Linked DNA regions of Drosophila melanogaster. The protein of the gene in region 2 interacts with the protein of the main gene of each other region in a pairwise test. Each region holds a gene or a part of one and is shown on either strand. Other genes may lie near its edges.

Evidence for each region. The genes of interacting proteins can lie anywhere in the genome.
Region 1: the proteins of Pcyt1 (region 2) and RecQ4 interact in a two-hybrid assay, tested with the Drosophila melanogaster proteins (one large-scale study listed by BioGRID).
Region 3: the proteins of Pcyt1 (region 2) and Cp15 interact in a two-hybrid assay, tested with the Drosophila melanogaster proteins (one large-scale study listed by BioGRID).

Annotation. Positions count from the first base shown.
Region 1 is NT_037436.4:8,169,049-8,178,949, forward strand, and holds RecQ4 (RecQ4 helicase), read right to left. Parts: upstream 6,931-9,901; 5' UTR 6,809-6,930; coding exon 6,707-6,808; intron 6,654-6,706; coding exon 3,484-6,653; intron 3,421-3,483; coding exon 2,680-3,420; intron 2,618-2,679; coding exon 2,442-2,617; intron 2,383-2,441; coding exon 2,066-2,382; intron 2,005-2,065; coding exon 1,771-2,004; 3' UTR 1,592-1,770; downstream 1-1,591. Other genes in the region: Nmt (N-myristoyl transferase), read right to left, coding at 7,378-8,591, 9,075-9,279; mthl7 (methuselah-like 7), read right to left, coding at 9,628-9,826, 9,890-9,901.
Region 2 is NT_037436.4:1,542,667-1,552,915, reverse strand, and holds the start of Pcyt1 (phosphocholine cytidylyltransferase 1), read right to left. Parts: upstream 6,825-10,249; 5' UTR 6,610-6,824; intron 6,318-6,609; exon of another isoform or gene 6,240-6,317; intron 5,585-6,239; exon of another isoform or gene 5,327-5,584; intron 4,652-5,326; exon of another isoform or gene 4,516-4,651; intron 3,469-4,515; exon of another isoform or gene 3,006-3,468; intron 2,203-3,005; 5' UTR 2,123-2,202; coding exon 1,628-2,122; intron 1,439-1,627; coding exon 1,115-1,438; intron 1,052-1,114; coding exon 290-1,051; 3' UTR 1-289. Other genes in the region: CG32313 (uncharacterized protein), read left to right, coding at 7,222-7,263, 7,311-7,442, 7,511-7,746, 7,813-7,951; pns (pinstripe), read right to left, coding at 8,841-9,262, 9,324-9,706, 9,773-9,891, 9,958-10,103, 10,180-10,249.
Region 3 is NT_037436.4:8,725,681-8,730,657, reverse strand, and holds Cp15 (chorion protein 15), read right to left. Parts: upstream 2,178-4,977; 5' UTR 2,132-2,177; coding exon 2,120-2,131; intron 2,049-2,119; coding exon 1,713-2,048; 3' UTR 1,592-1,712; downstream 1-1,591. Other genes in the region: Cp19 (chorion protein 19), read right to left, coding at 140-646, 736-750; Cp18 (chorion protein 18), read right to left, coding at 3,131-3,634, 3,809-3,823; CG43965 (uncharacterized protein), read left to right, coding at 4,895-4,915. UniProt on the Drosophila melanogaster protein: Chorion membrane (egg shell) protein; plays a role in protecting the egg from the environment.

The DNA of each region.
Region 1 (9,901 bases), 6.6 Mb from region 2:
CAGGAGAATGCCAAGAAATAGTGATTGAATTGCCATTTGATGTTGATCAAAATTATTCACCAGCAAAGTGACAAGAAATACTCAAAATTCAGCTCGCAACGAAGCGAAAAGAAGCTGAAATAGGAAAACCAATTACCACAACGTTGGCAAATGCTTTTGGAGATGATTGAAACCGATGGAAGATCCATTCAAAAACATAAAAGAAACTGTCTAGAAGGCCAAAACCATCTGAACCCAGCCTGATCGGATTGCAAAGTTCACAGTGGATGATGATGATGCCGATAGACAGCGCTTTGGGGGAAATTTCATGCAGAAAATGGCATGAGTAAAACGAGAGGAGATCACATTGCCCAGATACTAGAGTACTTATGAAGGAGCACGGCCAAATGCCAGTGGATGCATAACGAGGTGCGAACAGGGTCAGCTCTGGTAGCCTTTAGCCATAGCCGTAGTTGAACTCAATCGAACGGTTGGTCGGTTGGCCAACAGAATGTGGCCTAAAGCAGGTACGTAAATTGTCAGCAAAGTGCTAAAGTTGGCTAGTGAGCGAGGGGAAATAGTGTTTCGATATATGATAGCAATGTAAAGATCTTCTATGCTTTCAACATAAACTGTTGTCGTTGAAGAATTCTCAACATTAGCAATCATAATACAAAATCGAAGTCTATATATTCCTTGTAAAGCAAGCCCATCTCAAGGTATTTTCTTTGGAATGTCAGCAATTGTTTAATATTCAGCATACGCCATGTTGTCCGTTGCATCAGCTAGCTGGCCAGTCAAGTTGCTCGTTGCTTTTAGTTTTTCCTTTATTTTTTATTATTTCCTATCTCGTTGCTTGCATTGTGGTATTTGCCTGCTACCATTTCAATTGATTTTCGCTTTTATGCCTCGAAATTGGAGTAAAATTGGAGGCAAGGTCAGCTTGCTGCTCGATGGCTTCGCTGGCCATCTGCACAATGTGGATGATCATGGAGCGAGGATGATGACGTTGACGTCTCACTCTCAGAACAAACAAGTTGTAATTGGGTCGACTTTTGTGTACTCGAGTCTCGTTTATGATTATAAACAACATCGGCACGAGAAGCCAAAGGCCTCACAAAATGGCCAAGTCATAAAAAACCTTTATCAAACGCTTCGCTGATCCGACAACTTCAATGATGTTTCTCTGTTTCCAGTTGTCTGTGCCCTGAGTTGTTGTTAGATCCCCCCATTTGTTGGGTTGTTTGCTTCGCGTTCGTGTGAACTGAGGAAGGACGACCTTTGGCTAGGCTTCGATTTGAAGATGACACCTTCGACCGGGGTTATACATTTCGTGATGTTATTGGGAATGACTCAGCCGGATGTTTGTTTCTTTACGGGCTCCATCGAATTGATTTCTGCTGTTTCATTTGAAGCCGTAGCTGCAATTTGCCTCTAAACGAGCTTGGCATTTGTTTACTTTATTTTAGTGCTCTGTTGTTTTCGGCAATGAAATTATCATAAATTGTTATTGTTCCATTGGCGTGGGATTGTATGGTGCAAATTTATTAGCTAATGAAACACATAGATTTAGAGAGTTTAAAAACCAAGCTAAAAATTTAGATTGTCCGTACGAATTTCTCTTTCCACTCATAATAAGTACAAAAGCTGTTTATATAGAATTTGTAATTTATTTTTGTATTATCAGACTTGTGCGAGTAAAATGTTATTGAATGGCATCACATATTTTTAAAATTCTTGGAGCTATTAATTGGTTAACCATGGTATCGGCGGTTCATCCCGACATTACGGTCACGTACGCCTCTTGATAATAGCCATATTGGCCAGGTGCAGGATGCGATTGAAATCCACTTTGACGTGGGCACGCCAGAACTTACAGCGTCCCCAGATGACAGCCGGATAGTTCGGGCTCATGATGCCATGAAAGATGCGCGCAATATTACGTCCGGTAAATGTATTGTCCGGGTACATGTTTATTAGAGCATGAACGTCGTCTATGATGTTCTCATCCGGCACGTTACTTGGCTAATGGACAGAGAGGAAAGCAATAAAAGTAAGAAATTGAAATGTGTTGCCAAGCAATTACCTCTATTTCCAGCTCCAGATCCTGTGGGTAGTCATTGGCAAAGTAGTTGCGCACGATAGCCTTTAGCTGCTCGCCCCGATCCTGCGGAAAATCCGCATTGCAGCACTGGCCACAAGAGCTGTAGGCCACAGCAGCCAATCCATGGGCCACATATTGCAGCTGGATGAGCTGCGTACGCTCCTGTTTCACGGATCGCGTATAGAGAGTGTCCAGAGCGTTGTCGATCTCTGATTCGGTAAAATCGCCCGGCACCTTGATGCGGAATCCCAAATCATAGAAGCTCACCGTGATGGGCGATCGCTTGGGATATCCATTTACTATCGAAAAATTAATTTCTAATTAAACGGATCCTTTTTTGAACGGATTACCATCTCACCTTTTACCCACTCCAGATCCTTCAGTTGGTATTTGACCACACCACTGTTCCAGCCAATTCCTGCCGCGATATCTGTGACCGAGAATTCTATGATGTTAGAGTCCTCCTTGAATGTCTTATCTCTAATCTGCAAAGCAATAGCCATGGCCAATGGTGGACATTCCTTTGCAGCATGCCTGTGCAAGGAAAAACCAATAACATTAAACACATACACAATACACGTGTCTAAAGGACTTACTTCAAGTACTTTGGCCCACCATACGAGATTACCTTAGCCATCACATATGCTGAGCTGAGCACACTGATGCACCATCGGGGATCAAGCTCCATGTAGCAGAGCAAAGTAGATATGTTCTCCGCCGGGATGTCCAGCATCTCAACGGTTTTCTCCACGGAAAAGCCAATCTCGTGTCCCGGACACATATGCACTCTAGGACCATCACCTTCAAGGGGAATCGGAAGAGCTGTCCTCTTGGAAGCCTCCTTGTCACAGCTACATGGCACAAAGATCTTTTGCAGCAGCTTACGGATAACATGCCGATCAATGGAGTTAGAATACACATGGCGACGCAGCTCACTCTGGTCGCCACCCTTCGCATCCAAGAAGAGGTGACAGTGGGAAGGCAACCCGTCGCGTCCTGCTCGACCAATTTCCTGCACATAGCTCTCAAAGTTTCTTGGCATATTATAATGGATTACCGCGCGTATGTCCGGCTTATTGATGCCCATACCAAAGGCAATGGTGGCCACCACAATGCGCAGCTCATTGCTCATGAAGGCCTTCTGAACGGTTCGTCGCCTGGAAGCGGGCATTCCAGCGTGATAGGGCTCAGCCTGCCAATTCACACGTTTACGTTTTTTCGTCTGATCCTGAGTTGGCTCCCTACGGTCTTGCACGCACGTTCTAATAAACCCAGCGATACGCTCACACTCGTCACGACGCGTACAATAGATAATAATGGACTGGCAGGGCTCGAAGCTAGAATGATCAAAATGTATTTAAGTCTCCTTCAAGTTTCAAAGATGGTGGGCCAAGTCTTACCGTTCGCTATTGAGCAGTTGGAGCAGAGCTGCATCCCGGTTCTCATCCTTGGAGACGGACAGCACTAGATTGTCAGGCAGTGGGATGTCGCTTATAATACCACGTTCTCCATCCGATATGCCAAGGTGATTTATAATGCTAACACGCGTTGGCAAAGTTGCCGTGGCTGTTAGCCCCAGCACTGTGCGTACACCGAGATTCTTTCTCAGCACCTTGCAGATCATTAGGTAGCTGGGTCGAAAGTTGTGACTCCACTGAGACACGCAATGCGCCTCATCAATACAAGCGAATGCAATGGGCGGCAGCTGGCGAAGAATGGCTCCAAATCCTGTGGCTCGTTCCCCGGCGACAACCGCCTCCGGAGAGACAAGAAGAATGTCAATCTCCCCATTGGCAATCATCTGCTGAATCTTCATACGCTGCGGCGCGGTCTGATTAGTGTGCAGGCAGTGAGCTCGCAGAAAGTGCGGCACCCCGGTCACCTGATCCTCCATAAGTGACACCAATGGTGAGATGACTAGGGTAATAGCTCCCACTTTCCGGCTATACAAATAGGCGGGCAATTGGTAGCACAAAGATTTGCCGCTGCCCGTGCTAAGTGTAACTAGCGATGATAGTCCAGAGAGAGTGCGCATGATGGCGCGATCTTGACCTTTCCTGAAGTTGGTGTGCCCGAACATGTGGAGTGCCTCTAGGACCTCTGGCGTCGTGTCCTGGACACTGCCATCCGGAAGGAGATCGTATAGGGGCTTCACCCCACCGTGCTGGCTGCGATTCGAACTAGAGGCTGTGGTGTCCAGTCCAGCCTGCTTGAGGAACTCCTCGGGAATCTTGTGGCCGACGTATGTCTTAATAGGTGAAGCTGCTTTCTCTTGCGAAACCGGTTGGCTTAGGGAAGCTTCGACGGCCGCATCTAGGGCCTCGAAATCAACGTCCATTTCATCGCTAGACCAATTTGGATCTGGATGCTGCTGTACCTCCTCATCTCCGCTGCTTTCTTGGTCATCTTCCTCTGACTCGTTCAACTCATCGCCTTGCAGGATGGCTGCATTGGCCGCTTGGGGCAGCCGTGAGATGTTGCGACTGTGTGCCACCACTGCTCCCTGACTGGCCATCTCCTGAGCCTCGGCAAGCGTGGGAAACGGCGAGGGATCCTCTTCCAGCTGTGCCGAAAGTGGCAACAAGCTGTCTCCCTTCACCTTGCACTGCTGAGCGAAATGCCCGACTCCGCCGCACTGGAAGCACGTGAGCACTCCGCCATCACAGCCACCCATATCCATGTCCGGCCCACTCAAGGCAGCCACTCGTTTCTTATGCCGCCACTGTTGCTTCTTGTACTTGCTGAAGTTCACGGACTTTTTGCCACGCACGAATTTTTTCTTTTGAATATTTATGGTCACAAAGTTCTCGTTTAATTTACCAGCTGCTATGCGTTCCTCCAGCTTCTTTCGTGCTGCGGCTCTCTTTTCATCCACTCGAATGTTGGACCCTTCCGACAATCCTGGGTTGGGTCCAGCGGCGAAGGTTCTAATATAGCGCTGGGCGGTAGCATCCGCTTCTTCTAGATCCTGCACATTAATGCGCGGAACGGAGGTAATATCTCCCGCCTCCAAGGCCAACACGTATTTCAAATCTTCTGGATTCAATGGTTGGCGCTCATCCTCTTCTGGATCAGGAGCCGGCTCGACAGCGATGGCTTTTTTAGAGTTCCTCGGCTTTTTCTCCGCCTTGGGTTTCTTTTCGGCCTTGACTTTGGCTTTCTTTTCTGTTTTCGGTTTTGGTTCCGCTTTGGGCTTAGTGGTCTTTTGTTTTCCGGCGGCTTGCTTGCGCTTTGCCTTATCTTTCTTTTTATTCTCTGGTACATATGTAGCATCCTGGTCTTCATCTGCAGAGAAATCTGGATTCTCTTGAGCAAATGTTTCTGTCTCTGGTTCGACTTTGTTGGGAATTTCAACTGGGGCGGCTACTTCCACTTTTCCTGATGCTGTTGAAACAATTTTGCGACGTTTTGATAGTTGCCGATATTCTTGTGGTTCCTGCTCTTCTTCACTCTCAGCCACAACAGAGTCGGAATCCGAATCGGTTTCCTGCTCGGAAGGTGGAGGTTTATTTTTAGGAGCGACTGATTTTTGACTGGATGCAGGAGGTGTGTGATTAAGATGATCTGGTTTCTGGTTCATGCTAGAATTCATATCTGTTTGCAGCTCCTGTATGATTGCCATTTGATCGGGCTTGGCCTGCAACACTTTTTCCTCCTTAACAGTGGGCTTTAGTTTACTTAAATCAAGATTGGCCAGGCCAAAGTTTGTTTTCTTGGACGTACCACTGTTATTATTTGCTTCCGCAAAGGGCACTTCTTCATCAAGAGTGTTTTCCTTTGTATTTCGCCGGAGCCAGCCGTCGTCCACCAGTGTTTTGATACTTTCCTTGCTGTGCTCACTGGCCAGCATTGGATTGTTAGCTATGGCCTGCTGCTTCTCCTTGTACTCCTGGGCTTTGCGTATGAGTATGGTCTCAAAGTCGAGCAGTTCCTCGTGATGATCAGTAGGAACTGAGCTAAGTGATGTGGTGGAACTAGAGGAACTGACACAACGTGAAAGCGGCTTTCGGGGATTTCGTTTAGCAAAACCGCGTGAGGATTGGAATAACTTGGCACTCAAGCTGGGCTTAAGACTAGCGCCCGCTTTGGGTTGCTTTCCGTGCCCCGGAGCGGATTTGGAGGCCTCTACAGGCTGTGGTGGAGCTGGTGGCTTCTTACTCACATTCAAGCCCCAGGCATTTTGGTTGATTGGCAGCTCCTCCACCGCCTCGAATTTGCGAATGACATGGTTTTCATCGCGATTGACCAGATTGGTGAGTACTTGACGATTGGGCAGGTCGATGAGATTTGAGAATGAGCCCTCCACCGATTGTGGAATTTCCTCAAGATTACCAGAGCTCTGCGGCCCCACCAGTGCAGATATATCCAACGGTAGCTGAGGACCTTCATTAAGACTGACGTCCTGGTCCAGCATGCTCACACCGAAATCACTGGCCTGCGACATCTCCAGAATATCGTATCCATCTTCGCTGAGAACATCGTTCAGCGTCTCTTCCAGGAAGGATGTCTTCAGTTTGTAGTACATTTTGTATGAGTCCCGAATCTCCTGACTGGCGTCCCTTATATCATACTGCAACAGGTCAACCAGTTAGCATACTTGTCATATCCGCATCCCAATCTCACCTTCGATGGAACACGGCCATTCTTCTTCTTGAAGTCCTTCTCCCACACCTTGACGCGCAACTTGTACTTTTGGTATTTTAGCTTGAACACCGAATCGTCCATGTCGGCGGCTGTCTTTAATTGTCAATATTATGAGGAAACCAACATTGGAATCAGATTTCGTTAACTAATAAACCAACACAAGTGCAGCTGTTTTGCTTAGCGCGCGCTTTTTCACCGACCTTGCCAGACCAATGGCCATGTGACAGAGTGGCCAGACTATCACATGCTGGGACAGTGGGCAAAAATACAATAATCTGCTTAAAAAAAATAAAAACTTGTCATCTTTAAAAGAGCAGCAAAATAATTTATTGTCAATTATAGGCAATAAAGGTCCAAGTAAACGTTACATTTTTATTGATATTGCTGCGCATTTTATACAATTTGTGTTCGTTCTTGTAGTAAAAAATATCGAAGCTTGGCCGTTGCAAAATGCAATTTTCACAATGATGCTATTTAGGTGTATGCTCGCAAAGGGCTTTCCTCGCTGGAATAACTGAAGATTACAGGTAATAGCTACGTAAATAGGAGCAAAGCAAAGCAGCCGCACGGCACTTCCAGCAGGGTGAAGAAAGCGGAGGAGGGGAGCTGTGAAAGGCAGGGCGAGAATGTGAGCTTAGGTGACAAGGTGACTACATGAGTATCAGAGCAATCTCCTCCGGCTGCATCGATGGACAGCGCCAATTGTAGAGGTAGTACTGCAGGTTTCCATCCCCGGCGCCGAATTTTAGCGGTGCAAAGTACTTCTTGTTCTCCATGAGGTCGAGGGCATTGTACACGTCCATCTGGACATTGCGGGCCGAGATCAGTGCATCGTTCATCAGGTCCAGCCACGGGGTCTTTGTAGACACATTATAGAACGAATATGCGGCACGAACCGTCTTATGCACCGGATGGTGCATCACGGACGATGGCAGGCAGTAGTAGCTAGTCAGATCAGTGATGTTGCCCTTTTCGTCGGCAACCACGAAGCAATCGATAATACCTTCTTTGGGGGTAAACCAATGACGAAACTCTTCCTTGCTGAACACCGGGCTCAGCTGAAAGCGCTTTAGGTAGTCCTCCAGCAGCTTGTGGGCCTTGTCCATGTCCTTCGCTGTGATTCGGCGATAGCCCTTCGTCTTGGGCTGATCGGGTAGCTTGTACAGCTTCATTGTCCGCTGCATGGTCATGTTACGTGCGAGATGAGAGAAACGCACGTCTACCAGCTTCTTGGGATTGAGCGATCGATGCCAATAGCGACAGGTGGCCACTGGCGTGGGCAACACAACTCCAGCTGTATAGGCCGCCTGGAAAATCCCCGTCAGATTGACGCGACGCGTTATCTCCCGAATCAGGACTGGAGCCACCCGTTTGCTGCGCAACTTCTTGTGGACGCATAGGAAGTTGATGTCCACAACCTTTAGCACCTTGTCGTACGACTTCAGCTTGCTGGGAATGGCTGAGATGAAGCCAACCAGTTTGCCGGACTTCTCCACACGAACGCCAACATGCCAATCGCGTTTCCAGCCAGGTGGCTGCAGCGACCACTTTAGAAACTCGGGTTGGTAATCGAAACGGAACATGGCATCATCGTCCTCCACATAGTTCTCATTGAGCAGCGTGTACAGCTCCTTGAGATCATTGGCGTCGTTCAGGTCTAGTGTCACCCATTTGAAGCCGCCTGGCAGAGTGTATGGCAATGCTCTAATCTCACTAATTTCCTTGTTCGGTTCAATGCATTCGTTGGTGGTCACCTGCTCGTCCAGCTTGGTGACTGGCTGTGTGGACCAAAATGCAAACTTCTTGGCCATCTGACGGGTGCTGGCCATAGCATCGGAAACGGCTTGTAGCAAGGCCTGTTTGCCTGAAAGAAACGATGATGCGTTGAATAGTATTATAACATTTTTCGATTAGTTTAAACTGGAATGACTAATCTGCCCCAAAAAAAGCTTAAGGCATCACGACAGTGGACTAGTTTCCCATGACAACAAATTTGCCCAATTTTGGGGTTTCAATGAAGCATCAATCAATGGAATCAACAAGGTAGAAATCTTATATTACACATATTTTATTCGTAATAAAAAACTCAATTGTATCTATGTAAGTATATTCATATTTCATCAAAATCAAATATGTATTTATGATTTATGAGTTGTTTATTTTTCCGTTAGGGCTAATCTTTGGAGTAATTGCACAGAAAATGAAAATTGAAAATTGAATTGAAATGAATAGCACAGCAGTTCAAGTTAGAGAGGTTGGACTGTAGTTCCCGACAAAACCTAACCTCATTTTTTCAGCCGCAGGAGGAGCCTCTAAATGACTTTTCACAGGCATATTGAAAACTTACTTGCATTCGCAGACACTGAAGCCTCATTCTTGGCACCATCAGGCTGCTCCGCATCCTCGTTTCCTGCTGCATTCGTCGATGCCGTGTCCTGGATATTTAAGCCGGCAACAACCTTTTCGAGCATTGCCTCCGATGCGTCGGCCACCTCCTTGGCCTTCTGCTTTAGCTCTTGACCCGAGAGGTCCTCTGCGTTTTCGTTCGGCATATTTTGCACTGTATTTCTTTTTGAACAGTAAAGCAAATTAAAATTGCAATGAAATCGCAAAACTACAAGCAGAGCAGCTGATTTTTTTGGCGATACCTATCGATGTTTTTTAAAGAATCGAAAGTGGCTGGAGAATCAGTGTTACCAGAGGGTGGCGAAGTGAAAAGCTTGTCGCGGTGACCTCTTGGCAGTTTAAAGTACATCGTTTTCTAAAACTATATTTATTTATTGAGTTCAATAAAATTCAATTCAATTCCTTCGTTCAGCAAAGGATATTAATAAAATGAGGGGCTTTAATTGTTTAAAGCTTTAATTGTAAACAATTATTAGAATTATATAGAAACAAGCTTAAGAATCCATCATTAGAGTCCATGTGCTGCGCTTCAGGACGAGCAGAACGAACAAAACAATTCCAAACGCGCTGTGAAAATACTCGGATATTATCCCGACCCATTCCCAGAAAATGTGGAGCCGTGCAGAATACGGAATGACATTGAATATCCAAGTAAGGCCCATCACGATGGAGAGCCGCAGGAACTGTAGGTAACTATGTGGATAATACGGCAAGGATAACTAGTTTACCAAGGTCCAAGGTTTTATCATATCTTACGTCTGGCTGTCA
Region 2 (10,249 bases):
GTCCCACACACACACACACACAGCTAAATTAGCTACAGGATTCCCTCGATTCTCACAGATGGAGATGGGCAGGTGGAGTTGAGGCAGGAGGAGAACGAGTGCCAACTAAAACATTGGGATTACAATACCACTTAGGGCTAGAGTAAATATAAGTGTGTGTTCGTGGAGCCTGCGTGGCGATCCTGGGGCATCTATAGTGTGCCGTCGAACTAGTTGCAAGCAAGTCCATTTACAATAGCATTAAAGACATTAAGAGAAGAAGAAAAGATCGGGCTGCCCCGCAATAGAATCAATTGCTTCGACGCTCGTACTCCGCATCCGCATCCGCATCCTCGTCCCCATCCGCTTCCAAGTCGGGTGATTGGCTCTGCAGACTCTGGTAACTGCGGCGGGCCAGCGAGGAGCGCTTCTGCTTCGGCCTCTGTTTGCCGTTCAGCGATCCACTGCTGCCGCTGCCGCTGCCCCCGCTCAACTTCTCGGCCATCTCCAAGTACTCGTCAATAGTTTCGCTGTAGTCCTCGCCGCCCTCCGTGTCATCACCGTTCACTGATCCCGACGGGCTGCCCGGCGGACTGAGTGCCTGCAGCAGCTTGCCCTTCGACTCGTTCCACAAATGATTCAGGTTCTCACGTCCGAACAGCAGCAGGAAGGTGTCGATGAATTCGCGCGACTTCTCCTCCCACTTGGTGATGATGTCCACCTTCACCTTGCTCAGCTCGCGCTTGCCGCGCGACTTCAGCTCGTCCATCTTGTTCTGCAGCCGGAACTTCTTCTCGGACAGGAACGACACATTGAGTTCCTTGGCCGAATAGCCTCTGGCCAGATTACGACGCACATACAGATCGTAATCCTTGACGATCCGGGCTACGATGTCCGAGGTGGACACACCCTCAGTGCGCTCCGTGGCCACAAACATGCCGCGCGCCTTGAGAGGAGCATAGATGTCGTCCATGCCATCGGTTACATACGGAATGTCGTCGTGGGCCACAAAGTCGATTTTGTTGTCGGCGATGAATTCATCGGACAGAGTCCATGGCGCATTCTGGACGATCTGCAAGACAGAGTAAGATGCTATAGACTGAAAGATCTCTAATCAGTGCCGGGCAGAACATACCTCGTCCACATAGCGGCAGTGACGCACTCCCTCGTATCGCTCGAAGCCGTTCATCACGGTGCGTCCCTTCATGCGGTGGGTGAGCTCGTCGTTGCACACGCCCACAATTAAGTACACGTTGGGAAAGATGTTCTTGGCCTGCATTAGTTGGCGGGCGTGGCCCTGGTGGAAAAGATCGTAGATGCCATCGGCGTAGACCCTCACCCTGCGGGTCGTCTGTCCGGAGCGGGCCATCTGGTAGGTGATCCTTTGAGTGTAGTCACATCTATCCCGCTCCAGCATGGCCTCCTCGTCGTGAGAGTAGGGCGCCGGCTTGCAAATTGTCTGCAGGAAGAAAAGTTCCCGATTAGTTGGGCTATTCAACTGGACGATTGTGTCCTTGGTCTACACATTCTTTCTCGATCTTATCACACATCGTCGGAAATATACGACTCACGACTCGAACATCAATTTCAAACGATTTCAGCTACTACGATTTAGACTAACTTTGCATCCTAACTCTTGACTACTTACCGCAAAATCGGAGGCCCCGCTGAAGAATTGCTGCGAGGTGGATGCGGGCACCACCCGGTGATTCGGCGACGCCTGCTGCTGCGGGACGTACTTCCGCTTGACGCCGTTGAGGTAATCCGACTGTGGGGGCAGCAGGTCCTCGGCGGCTGCCGCTTCGCCGCCATCGTCGGCGTCGCTTTGTGAGATGGTGCGTGTGCTGTCCCGCAGTGTGGTGGCCGAGGTGGTGGGCTCGCTGGCTCCCTCGCCGACCACCAAGACACTCTCCAGCTGGCCGGGCCTGCTCTTGGACTTGCCGGGGCTGTTTGTGCGCTGATCCTGAACTTCCGATACCTTTGTGGCGCTGCTGGAGGCGGTGGACGAGGGCATGGCAATGGCTATCTCGTAGGTCCGCTTCCGGGTGGTCAGTGTGGAGCCGGGGGACGCGCTGCTGCTGGGCGTGGCCGGTGGCGATGTGCTATTAATTGTGCTTTTGGCGAGTATCGATGAGGTGGCCATCGCAGCGAATGTTTGGGAGCGGCAGTTTTAACGGCTTCGCGACGCGGTGACGGAGGAACAGAGATTCAATTGACTTTCAGCTGGAAGAGATCGAGAAACAGATTGGTTACCATCAATGCTCTACATTACTTTCCCATATTTTGTGTGTTACGTTTCGTTTACATCACATTTAGTCTTATGAAATTATAAAGTTTTTCTTTGAAACCGCATTTGGTTAGCTTTGCATTCTGTTTATATGTAGTTGCAAGCATCATTTATCAAATTTCTTCATTCGCTGGATTTTATTCAAATTTCCCTTTGCCAATTTTTCCACCACTCCAACTTGTAACTTTTAGCCAAAGGGTTAATAAGTTTTCTCAAAAAGGAATAACAATTTTACTTCAATGAACCAACACAAGTTGTATTCTTGTTTTGTTTAATCGACACATATGCACTTGTTTACCAAGCAATTTATAAATAAAATCCAATAAAGCAGTAAACAATTCGAAATAAACAAAGTTATTTTTGAACTACAATTTAATGCATTGGTGCATAAGCAAAAATATATTACACATTCGCGCAGCTAATGGAAAGATACTTTCTTGTGAAACCATTTTTATGTAATCAGATATTCCCTTTTCATTAACCCAAATATTTATGACTCGGGTGGCAGTAGTTCTGACTGTTTTGCGCTGACGACACGTGACACCTGACCCCGCGCCCCCAGCCACGCCCCTTTTCTTCGAAGTTGAGCCACGGCCAAATCGATTTCAGTTTTAATTGCCAAATGGCCGATTCAATTCGCCACGCGCATCGCACCAGAGAAATTCCGCAGAAAAAAAAAACGCAACTGAAACAGCGGGTAAACAACAACACGGCTCGGTGTCGGTAATAATAGACATACAGAGACACGTAGTACTCTCGATAGGAGCGGGATGATGAGCAAGTGAAGCGCTGGCGGGGAAGGCAGCAGGGTGGGCGGCCAACCCAGCGCAGAACTAGTTCCGAGTATGCAGCGCCACTTTACGTAAACAAGTGCAGACGGAACACGTGAGCCGGACACGATGACCCATTCCCCCCGAGAGCTGGGCGCCAATCCTCTCGTGCTCCATGGCACACCCAGCAAAAGCAGCACGCAGGAAGTTACAGTTGGGATTAGTTAAGTCATATGTACATATTATTTCAGCTACCGGGAATTTTCAATGACGAATTTCCCGAAGGTCGTTCTAAATCAGTTTTTGTGCCAAAAAAAAAAAACGATGCTGCGTGCGAAATAATTAAACAAGATCGTCATATGTGCACATATGTACATAATTAGCATTGCGTATTTTGGGGCATTTGCTTGGAACTACATAATTGTTCATAATAAATATACAATACGTCATAGAAAAAGTAGAAATTCCTCATTTTTTAAATGCTTCTTTCGATAATATTGTAAATAGGCCCACTGTGCGGTCAGCTGTCTCGTGCGTGGCTAACAATAATTTTAGGTAGACGATTTCCCATGTTTATTCATCGTGGCACACATGCCTATTTACATATGTATCTACGTGTGTGGATAGCGTCTGCATATTTCTTGGCATTGGGAATACGTCAGAGATTTCTACACCTTATCTGGAGGAGTCCCTCCTGGCGACTCCAAAGGGGAGCAGAGTGCTTGATTTTGTGTTCAAGATTTGCCTTGGACGTGAGTCACTTGGAAGCCGCTTACAGTTCAAGTTCAAGCCATAAAAATAAAATCCGAGAGATTTTCTGAATAATTTCGGATCTGATGTAAGCGCTGTTTGAAATTTAACGAATTTATTGTACCTTCCCCGTGGACATGCTAATTCTGTTGCCAAGTCGAATTTCGGGCACCTTCGGCAATCTTCAGCTGTCGTACGTCATAAGTCAGAGTCGTACGATCTACAGTCACTGCTCGCTATAAGAAACCTTTCAGTTCTTCAAATGTATGAAAATATGAATAATGACAAAAGTTATGTTGTTTCCTTGATTGCTTAATCTAATAATTACTAGGATTTCCTTTGTTTTCTGAAAACATAGCAGTAATGACTCACGATTTCTATAGTTTCTTTTTTTTTCAAATCACTGTGCCACTAGTTTAGATTAAAAATATAAGTGATTTAACAATTTGCGATAATAAATGAATTCGTATCACGATGATTTTTGGAAACAAATATCTTAAGTAATAGCAAAGCAAGTCAAACATATCTAATCTCACTGGCGAGTGCCTACTGTAATTACTTTGGCTTTTAAACTGTGGTGACGAAGTGCCACCTCCATTGAAGCGAATCCAAACGTAAACAAAGCCAGGGGAGATTTCCATTTGAAGTGGACAAGTGTGGAACCCGTAAAATCGATTCCCAAATTGCCGGGCACTAAAAGCAGGTGAGAGATAAGATCCCCTGAACTACCTGCTGCTAACTTATCTCGGAGAAGAACAATATTTCTGCGCCTGACGGCCGCTTCCGCTGCACTCGAATCGCGAATCGCGGGTATCTGGAAACACGATAAATGCGTTTGGCGGAAACGAGCCATGTTTCACTGTTTCCAGCGATAAGACAAATTCGCCTTTAATTATGGTTAGCACTCGACAAACACCCTGCATGTCTGACAATCACACCGCCTGATCTTTGCCAGCCTGGCAAAACGTATGGCGGGCCAAGTTCGCTATCAGCACGGACTTATTTCATTATAATACACTTCTACGGACTACACATCGTACGTATTTTCTTCAGACAGAGGTCAGGCTAACCCTGCGATCGGGGAATGTGGGAAACTACTAGCAAGATCGTAATTAAATCACGTGATTAGCTGCTACTACTTCAATCATATACAATAAATGAATACATAGTTGAAGCCATGTTCTTAAATCTATAATATAGTTTTGAAGAAGCTGGCCATAAAGTGCTGCTTAATAGTATTTTCTAGTAAATAAAATCCTTGGAACCACTTCCATTATCTCAAAAGCACTCAACAAACATAGAGAATCTTTGCAAATATTTACACAAATGGAAAATTTACACTAAGAACAAAAGCAAGTCGTTCTAAAAATGTAACCGTAATTGACCCTTAATGGTTGATATAATTATTTAGTTACGTTTTTCGTGTCACTACGAAAACCGGATGTGTTCAGATAACTCGGTACAACAAATTAAATTAGATCATGCGGGAAGCGTGAGGAGATAAACACATTTTTTAATACAATTAACTATTGTTTCAAACCTCATAGTTTGGGGCTAACATTTCCTAACAGGCCGAAGAACTCTGCCGAATCTCACGGCAAAGTAAGAGATGATTTTGGAGTTTGCCTATTGGATGTTCGTTCGCTTTTGGCCAACAGCAAAAGGTCGAAAGTACAGTTCTGTGTGTGAGCCCAAGCCCACTGAGTATCAAAGACTACCTCGGGCTTTATTCAAATCTGCGTGCGTACGAGTGCTTTCGCCATTGATAAGCTACGATCGGAGTACAATTATAGACTGATCGTGGGGTGTACTCCATGGTGCACACAAGCAATTTGCATTGATAACCTTGGGGCGTGGGCTTATCAATAATGGACTTAACGGAATAAGCCGAAAAACCCAGTTGACGTCAACTGTGATTTTCGGATGCTACGTGTGAGAACGCTCTGGGAACTATCGGTCTGGGAGTAGGAACTGTAGTTAACACACTGGCACGTTTTTCTGGGGCACCCTACTTAGCATTTACAGCGCTTTAGGGCTCCAAGGCGAGTGATAAGATTGTCTAGAAAAATTGCACAATGCCCTATAACTATTGTTGTTCATATATAAATATGTATATGTCCGTCTCTTTTTCTCAGTCGCCTACGCACCGAACACGAAGTTCATTGAGAAGCCGAAACAGCTGACTCTGATAGTGCGTGTGATCTCTCCAAACACGCGCGTGCACTCTCTCGCTCTCCGCCACTCTGTTATGTTTGGCTGGAAAAGAGCGACCACGCAACGCAACGGTAAAAAGGCGCTTGGGAAAGTGGAGCACGTAGCGTGACTAACACTTGCCCCATTGGAATGACGCTGCCGCTGGGGAAATCGTACGATCGCAGGGTAAAGTACGCCACCAAAATGACGCGTCATCGAGCGAGATGTTGAGAGAGCGGAGGCGTGGGGCGGGTGCTCACCTACTGCAAGTTCGGACACGAAAAATCATACGACAAGCATGACGTGGCGACGGCCAATTAATGGCGTCGTCTTGCCGGCTGCAAAAAGCGAGAAGGAAAAAATCGATAAGCGGTGGCAGCGCAGCAGCTGTTCGTCGCGGGGAATAAACAGAGCAGAGCAGAGCAGGAGACGGTGATTATGTAAACAAGCCTTGAGGAGCAAGAATCCAAAACGCACATTCGGCCTCTGTAGAAAAGACAGAGAACAAGCTTTCGCTCTCTCTCCCTTCTGCTCACGTCATCCGCTCGGCACCGTGAATGTGTCTGCATTTCCCAGTGACCCGCATTGAAAAAACGCACCGAACCAAAATAGTTTCCACTCTCCACTTACTTTCCACTTTCTTCCAACTCGGAACGGTTCTTTCGATTATCGATTGGAGCTGGTCCCTTCTTTTCTCTGCTTGTCGAAGCAAATCTTCGTTTTCGTCTGGAATGACACACACACGAAACGCGGACCACAAGTCACCCCACTCGGTCTGTTAACAATTCGTTTGTTGTTCGTCGGACACAAACACAACTTCGAATAACCCTAGTGAACAAAAGTTGTTAGAGGTGGAAGCGCATCAGTTCCATTTCGATACCATCGATGACGCATGGGGAGACCGATATCTTATCGAATACTTTCACTGTTTTGGGTCGTGGAATGAATGAACTTTAAACAGTTATCGAAATAGTTTAAAAATTCAATTTTTAAATTTGTAGAATGACAATAAAGTGTCAAATTTAAATTTAATTTAATAATAATTCAAAAATAACACTGGCTATGAATCCTAAACCTACCATTTGCGGCAAAAACGTAACATGTTCATTCACAGCATGAAATCTCGAATTCTCGAAATTGTAAATCATATTAATAAAGTTTCCATAAACCTTGCGTATTTAATAATACTATGTGAAAATTGTCATATTCTGGAAAATCTTTCTGCGAAATAAGTAACAAGCAATGAGCATAAAAATTATTTTGTTTTTAATCGCCATCGAGGTAGTACGATCTAACATTTTTCTTCAGTCTGAGAACCCATTTCCTTCTAGTGCAACCAGACAATCGGCATAGGTCTTCGCTCCTTAATCCTGGAGGCTCACAATCGAAGGAGGGCCAAGTACGGTAATCAGCCCATGGTTCTGGACGAAGAACTCTGTACAGAGTGCTCAGAATACGCAGATGCAAGTATTTCAGCCTCAGTATAAAATCCTAAATTATTTAAAATTGAACAGTCTTCATCGTCCTCTAGGAAATAGTCAGGAATGAAGGTGTATATACAGAGAACTACTTGGAATACCTGTATGCAACGGACCCAATATCAGCAAAGCACCTTCAAGTCGTCTGCGTTTTCCGGGAGGCCTTGCCTAGGGAATGTGTTCGAATTTGGTTTCATTACCGAGGCTTCGCCGAGAACACAAAGTATTACAGGTTTACGGCCATGATATGGAACGCCTCCACCAGACTTGGCGTTGGACTAGGCAGAATGTGAGTATCTGATAAAATTACTTCTCCATGGCAAGACGAAGTGCAAGATAATTGCGTCTTCCGCAGACAGGAAACGCGATACCTAGTGGTGAGATATGCTCCTCCTGGAAACATTTTGCGAGAGATGGCGTCCAATGTTCCCAAGCGACCGACAACGTTTTGGGATGCAGAACACATTGTTGACCATGGGTTTGAGTTCGCATAACATTTGCTCGCAATGGCGTCAACAATATATTTGGTAACTGGCTGTCTTTCGTAACGACCTTATTAAATTTATATCTGTGCGGAACTTCCAGAATTTTGTAGATTTTCCAGCGGTATTCGAACTAAATCGTATATATCATTTGCGTATTTGTATTTATTGACTTTCAGGGTCTTAAGGTAGTGTCTGCAAACGTGTTTGGCTAAAGTGTAAAAATAAAGCTTGATTATAACATAAACACCTTTGGGTTAATCTCATTTCACTCACTCAAGTACCAAAATATAATAATATACAAAAAATATGTACGCCATAAGTTGGTCGTTATAAAAAACAAAGATTCTTTGGTAAAATCAACTAAACTAAAAGCTACTGTTGATAATGGAACTCAGGATAATTGACTGGATTTGGTTTCGGATTGGGACACCTTATCTACTAAGCTACACACACGCATACGTTTCAAATATATGGAGATTTTTGAACAACATTTTAGAATTTGTTATAGTAAACGTCTTAATTGCACAGTAAATGTCTTTAAAATTCGATTGCGTCGATGACAAGGAATTTTGTTCAACTTTGGCTTCAGTGTTCCCGGGACTGGCATCCATTACCCTAAAACGTTCAGCGTTTGACTCTGTTTCTTGGCAAGCTGTCGAAGGGTCGAATGGCAAGTGGTTAGTGGCTAGGCTTGGGATTATAGTTAGAACTAGAAATAGGTGTAATAGGGGCAGGAGTTCCTCCGCTTCGCATTAAAAGCTAACAACGAATTCGAGAGTTCCGAGATTCCTCAAGAGCATATGTATGTGAGTATTCTCTAGGTCACTGGTTGCAAATGTCCGTGGGTGAGATGTGGCATGAGTATTGCAGTGGGAGCGTTAGGTATTGCATCCGATCCTCAGCATTGGGACGCGATGCGAATGCCCTGTGTGATTGAGTTTTCCAGCACGATGTGGCAGTCGTCCAGCGGCTCCAGGATTTGGATGAGAAAGGTGAGGAGGTTGCGACGCCTAAGGAAGCTCTCCTCCTCGTACATCTCGTGCGTCACCTTGGTCAAGGCCATTGGCTTTATCAGACGCGTCAGCAGGTGCTCCCGCAAGCTCAAGCAGATAAGCAGCTGGAACTTGCCGTCCTTGCCGAGTGCCGTGCCGTTGATCTCGTCCATAAGCTGTACGTACAGACGCCAAATGCTGGAGATTTCCCGACGTTGCAGGCTGTTTCCTCCGCTGCCGCTTCCATTGCTAAACGAGGAGTCTAGGCTTGAGGATGAGTCCTCCAGCTCCATCTGCAGATTGTGTTCAAACAGCTCCTTGATTTTGGCTGTAATGGTAAAAGGTTTATTCATAAAGCAAATTAAAGCCCTAATGTCTATGTGTCTTACTGAAATAGTCCCAGATGTACAGATTTCGTCCAAAGAATCGCGCCGACCGGAAGCCGCAGAGGAAGACCTGCTCCAGACACTTGACCAAACCATCGTCCCCGCACAGCAGGTTGGTCAGGGTGCCCACATCCCGATCCCGGCTGGGCTTATAATGCCATTTGACCAGCACGTTGACGCAGTTGCCCAGCTGGTGTTGAATCTCTGATGGTGCCAGTGTCTCCTGGCGCTGCACACTGGGGCTCCGCGTCCGTGGAGGGGTGCGCGTATCAGATCCAGGAACTAACTCTGCATTCTTCGCGTTCGTCAAAACACGTTGGCCCACCAGCAGTCGCTCCGTGGAATCGTCATCCACGCCACGGCCCAGCCAGCGCCCACAAGGGAATCTTTTTGGGTTAAGAAAATATTGTGTTACTCAAAGCCCATGGTTGAACAACTTGCTGTTAGCTCACTTGTAGGTGTGGCCGGTGACCTCATTGCGCATCACCACCTGCTCAACCAGCCACTTGTGGCTGGGTCCCGAGTTGTCGTGTCCAATGCGCATGGTTGTCAGTAGGCCAAGGTTCTTGTACTGCAAATGAAAGGGAATTCAATAGGTGGCTATCTGAAAGTGATGATGCACGAGCGAAAAGCTTACATGGAATATGAACTCCAAGGATCCCTTCGGCACGGGCACCCGTTGCGTTTCGTTCATGGTGCCCGAGACCATGATCCAGACATTGCTGGAGGTGTGGTAGGAGCCGTACTTGCGGGAGGGGAAGATCACGACGCGGTAGGGCAGCTCTGTGGGCGGGAAGGGAATGCGAAACCAAGAGGAGTGTGAGCACAGGCAATATATTGGACTGCTAGCGTGACCTACTCGTCGTGGGGTATATGTTGGTAAAGCTGAAGTAGTCCACCGTGTTCAAAGTGAGCAGATGGTAGAGAAA
Region 3 (4,977 bases), 7.2 Mb from region 2:
ATATACAAAAAAATACCTAAAAGCCCCGAAAAATATATATTCCAAATATGATTATGATTTTTTCTTGTTGTTTATTATGTACACGATCAGGCTGAGATCAAGTATCCGCCAGGTTGGCTGGGGATAATCAAGTATGCGCTTAGTAGCCGCTGCTGCGGGGTGCAGAGTACTGGCTAACGTACTGGTTGCCATACTGGTTCTCTGGGACGAAAAGCTTGGCCACTGGAGCAGCAGGGCGGATGGGCAGGATCACCTTGCTGTACTCCGGGGGCGAGACGTAAGCCTTGTAGTTGTTCTGGCCGGGGTACAGGAGGGTGGCACCGGCGGGCTGGACAGTCCAACGGGGTCCGTAGCCGGCACGACGGTAGTTGCCACCGTTGTAGCCACGTCGCTCACCGCCATATCCACCGCTGACCTGGATGGGACGCAGGATCTCGGGGGCATAGCTGCCGCGGTAACCGCCGGCGATGATCTCCACGGGGCGCTCATAACGCTGCTGACCCTCGGCTCCAGCAGCAGCTGCTGAGCTGGCGGCGGAGGCGGCGGAGCTATCCTGACCGTAAGATCGCTGTCCGTAGCTCTGCTGGCCACCGTAGTTGGCGTAGCAGCTGCCCACGATGCAGGCGCAGAAGATGACTGCCAGAGTCTGGAAAATCAGGAAAACTTTCAGTTAGCATAAGTCCGGAAAATGAAAGAGCGGCAGGGAATACGGAAGCGGTTCTCAGGGACACTTACAGCGAACTTGTTCATGGCTATGATGTATGGGTTTTGGCACAGTTGGCTGAATTAACATATTAAATGGCCAAGCACACTTCTTTATATAAGCAAATTTATTGTTGCACTCGAAACGTGATCTCGCCCAGAAATTTATCACGGCTCAAGAGCTGGCTTCGTCGTCTCTTCTCGGCCAGTTTGTTGGGGAACTTTCTGTGGATTTCTAGCTTTTCCTAGCCAGATATCGGGGCTCCACGTTGAGCTCGTTTCGGCTCGAGCAGGTTGCTCACCGCAGCGTATCGTATCGCCTCCATTCGCCGGTTGACCTTCGTTGGGGGTGGCAGATGCAGATGCTCCCAACTGAGGCCCAAAATCAATGGTTGCATTTGGGTGCGTGCGGGAACGCAAGCGGGTTAATGGGATAACGGGCCAACGACTGACCAATGGTTATTGGATATGGATTTTATAATATTATCTATACCTTCAAGTAAACAGAACAAACCAAATTTTAACGATAAAACATAACTTCAGAGTCTATGCCTTTATGCACATTGGCAAATATGTTATTGTAATATATATAGCCCTTTGTTTGATTATACAATTTAAGATGTTCGTCTAAGAATCTATTAGTGAAACTAAGGGTTTCATAGGTGACTAAATTCTTGAGTCACTGAAGCTTAACCTGTCGACTTTGTAGCTTAAAGTGCAATAGTACTTCTATATAGTATTGTACAATCTGCCGCAGTGAATATTCTAGCTGCCCCACTTTGAAACCCATCTTGTGTGTGGAATAATAATAATGACCCACCGCTAAATCTTAACCCGAATGCGCTGAAAAGTATGTCACAATGCAAAACACACAATACGTATTTCTTTTCGGTATTTTCCATTGCGTTCAAGCTGCTTTTATTCACTGATTCTCAGAGTTTCGCCATGACAGCCACTCGAGGATTTTAGCAAGGAGTCGATAGTTCAATTCACTGCCGATGAAGCGAGAATTAGTAAGCACGTTGGCCGTAGCCGTGTCCGATCTCGTAGCCGCGAGCGCCATCCAACTCGTAGGAGGGAATGGCGTACTGCTTGTAGGTTCCGGGATTCACGGCAGCGGCGGAAGCGGCGGCAGCGGCAGCGGCACTTCCTCCATTACCCTCCGATCGCAGGCTGCGGGGATAGCTGTTGTAGCCACGGGATGGTCCGTAGGCGGGCACCTCCTCGTAGACGACGCGCTGAACAGGACCGTAGCCACCACCGTAGCCACCACCATAACCTCCACGGTTGCCGTACGCTGGGCTGGCGTTGATGTAGGCGAAAAGGGCCAGGGTAACGCAGACAATCTGAAGGTGAAAAGGGGAAATCCGGAGGATCAGTTGGCTGCCACTCCTTCACGGGGACTACCACAACTTACCAGGTACTTCATGGTGAGTGCTTAGTTTTGTTGGTTTGGGGTAATCAATCAAACTATGATTTACCGACCAGAAACGCTCGCTTTTATACGCAAATTTTAGCCTGGACATTTACGTGACCTATATACACTAATTGTTCTGTTTCAGCCCAGAAATGGCATTTCATAATTGCCCGGCTGGAATATACTCACATTTGATTTATGTACTTGTTGTCAAGCCATTATAAAATCGCTTGGTTACGCGATGTGCTATTCTACCGGGTGTTGGGTAGTGATAGCACTACGAACACGCGACTCTTCCAAATGGGAACCACGAACGCGTTTATTTTCGAATACAGTCCAAAATTTGTTGAATTGAACTTTATATTATCCACATTCTCGGGGGTAATGGTTTCCAGGTCGGTTGTGTCCGGAACTTGGCTTGTCTAAGTGAGGATTCTTCTAGAACTGGTTCCAGCCGGTTTTTCTGATAAAACCTATATAGAATCATCCCTTTAAAGTGACCACTAGTCACATACAAAACTTAAAATTATAACTAAAACATTTTAAAGTATTTCAATCATTTTGAAATTTTACAAAAACATAATTTCAAGCAAAACTATATTCTATCTAATCTCATTTTATCTAATAGGTTCTTTACTTATGGTAACTTAAAAAAGTCAAGGCTTATTTGACGAACTATAGTTTTAAAGTGGCCCCACAAATGAATTTAGTTTTAGCTTTTCAGCTTCATTCGCCATGAGAATTATTCTTTAGCACTTTAAGCAGCATTTTCATTTAACTACGAAACCACGAAATTTTTGCTGGCTCAAAGTATCGCTTGGCATTGCAATGAACCGCAAGTCTATGCCAATTCAGCTAAGATATGCAGATCTCAATTCTCGGCCCGAAACTAAAAACCCAGCAAGAATACAGTACTCAAAATTTTAAGTCTTGATGTTTTGGCTTTTATTATTATGACCTAGTTCCTTATGGGCAGGTAAGTTTTTGGTTCACTGTTCAACGTTTTGCCACTTAGTAGCTGGGCCTCTTGTAGCCCTTCTTTCCGGCGGCCACGGAGCTGGCAGCAGCGGCTGCGGAGCCTCCCTTCACCTTCTCGCTGTGTCCGTACTCCTGGTTCACGTAGCTGGTGGGGGGATAGACGGGCTGGGCGTAGCGGGGAGCCTCCTTCCAGACCAGAGGAGCTCCAGCGCTGGGAGCGGCCAGGGCGAGCTTGGCGAGGGCAATGGCCTGGGCATCAACTGGTGGGGCACCGCCGTAGCCGGAACCGGAGTACTGAGATCCCACATTGGCACCGCTGTAGGCAGAGGACACGGGCACAGGCACCGACTCGTAGGCACCGCCATATCCTCCATGGTTTCCGCCGTATCCACCACCGTATGAGGGAACGATCGCCTTAACGGTCAGGGCAGGCTGCACCTGGTAGGCATAGCCACCGACTGGGGCACCACCGTATCCACCACGGGAACGTCCGTAGGAGTTGGCCGAAACGGCAGAGATGGCGCAGAGGCAGATGCACTAAGGGATTCAAGAAAAAATTCAATTAATTTGGGTTTAGACTGAAGTGTATTAGAAAAGAAAGATCCAATCATATTATCCAATTATTATAATATGTAGTTATATTTTATTGAAAGGATCATACTGGACTCAGTTGAGGTGTCAATAGAAACAATATTGGAACTTAAGGCTTACCATGAACTTCATCATTCTGAGGCTGAGTTGGTTAGTTGATCGATGCGAAGGTAACTAATGTCTTATTCTGGCGCAATGTTTTGTTTTTATACCAGATCCAGGCAGAGGCCCAACTCTTACGTGACGAATATGATGCAAGTTTCGGCTCTCCGGGTTCCCGCAGACGCAGTTCCAGGCCTCGCCTCTTTGTCCAGCAATCTTGAGACGCCGCCGGAGACGTGCAGCCAGGCCGAATCCGCACTGGCCAAAATGCTGGCTCTCAATTCGGGCCGGTCCAGATAGCAGGCGTCTGTGCTTACGCCATCGTCTACCAGAGACGAGACCCATTACGTAAGATTCCGACCGCATGACTCTTCGTGCTCCGGATCCGCATAGTTTCGATCAGTATTGCAGTTGCTTTGCCCCACGGTGCCGAGAGCTTGACACCGATTTTTCAGTGACACAGTGAAGTCAAGGCAGTGGCCTGAAAATTCTGCTGCGTTGGTAGAATTTATATACAAAAGCAAAAAAAATTGAGATAAAATTACAATAAAATTATAAACACAACCGTTCCACTTTCCAAACTGCCGCACTAAGCTTTTTATAACATTCAATTGGCGCTACACAAATTGTGAATGGCTTATGGGCGGGCGCAAACATTTAATAATGAATAATAAATTATTTAGATGTTGGCCAGGCTCAGGGTACCAGCATCCAGTAGCCAGAAGACGAGTGAAAACGATCTTTCTCCGTATGCATTTTCTCTTCAAGATTGCTTTATTGGGATTTAAGCTAGTTGCTTTGCTCTTAGGAATTAAGTAAAAATATTATAAGACTGGAAACTGGAACTAGCGCCAACGACGACACGATAAATATTAAATAGTAACATTATTCGCAATACAATGCAAATGTAAGTCGGCTGAAACCTCAAGCCAAGATTGACGGATCTGAACATCCATCACAAGTCCGATATAGCCAGCTTGTTGAACAAGATATTTAGCGGAGGCTAATCTAGATAAACGACACGTTTGGGCCAGGGCCCTCAGACTTTATAAGAGCCGAGCTGCCGATGACAAGATCAGAAAACTGTCTCCAAACGCTTACAAAATGAGTAGTCTGCGTTGCAAGGTGAGATGAGATGATTATGGTTTCATCGGCATGGACACATTAATGGTAATTTCAATCTGCAG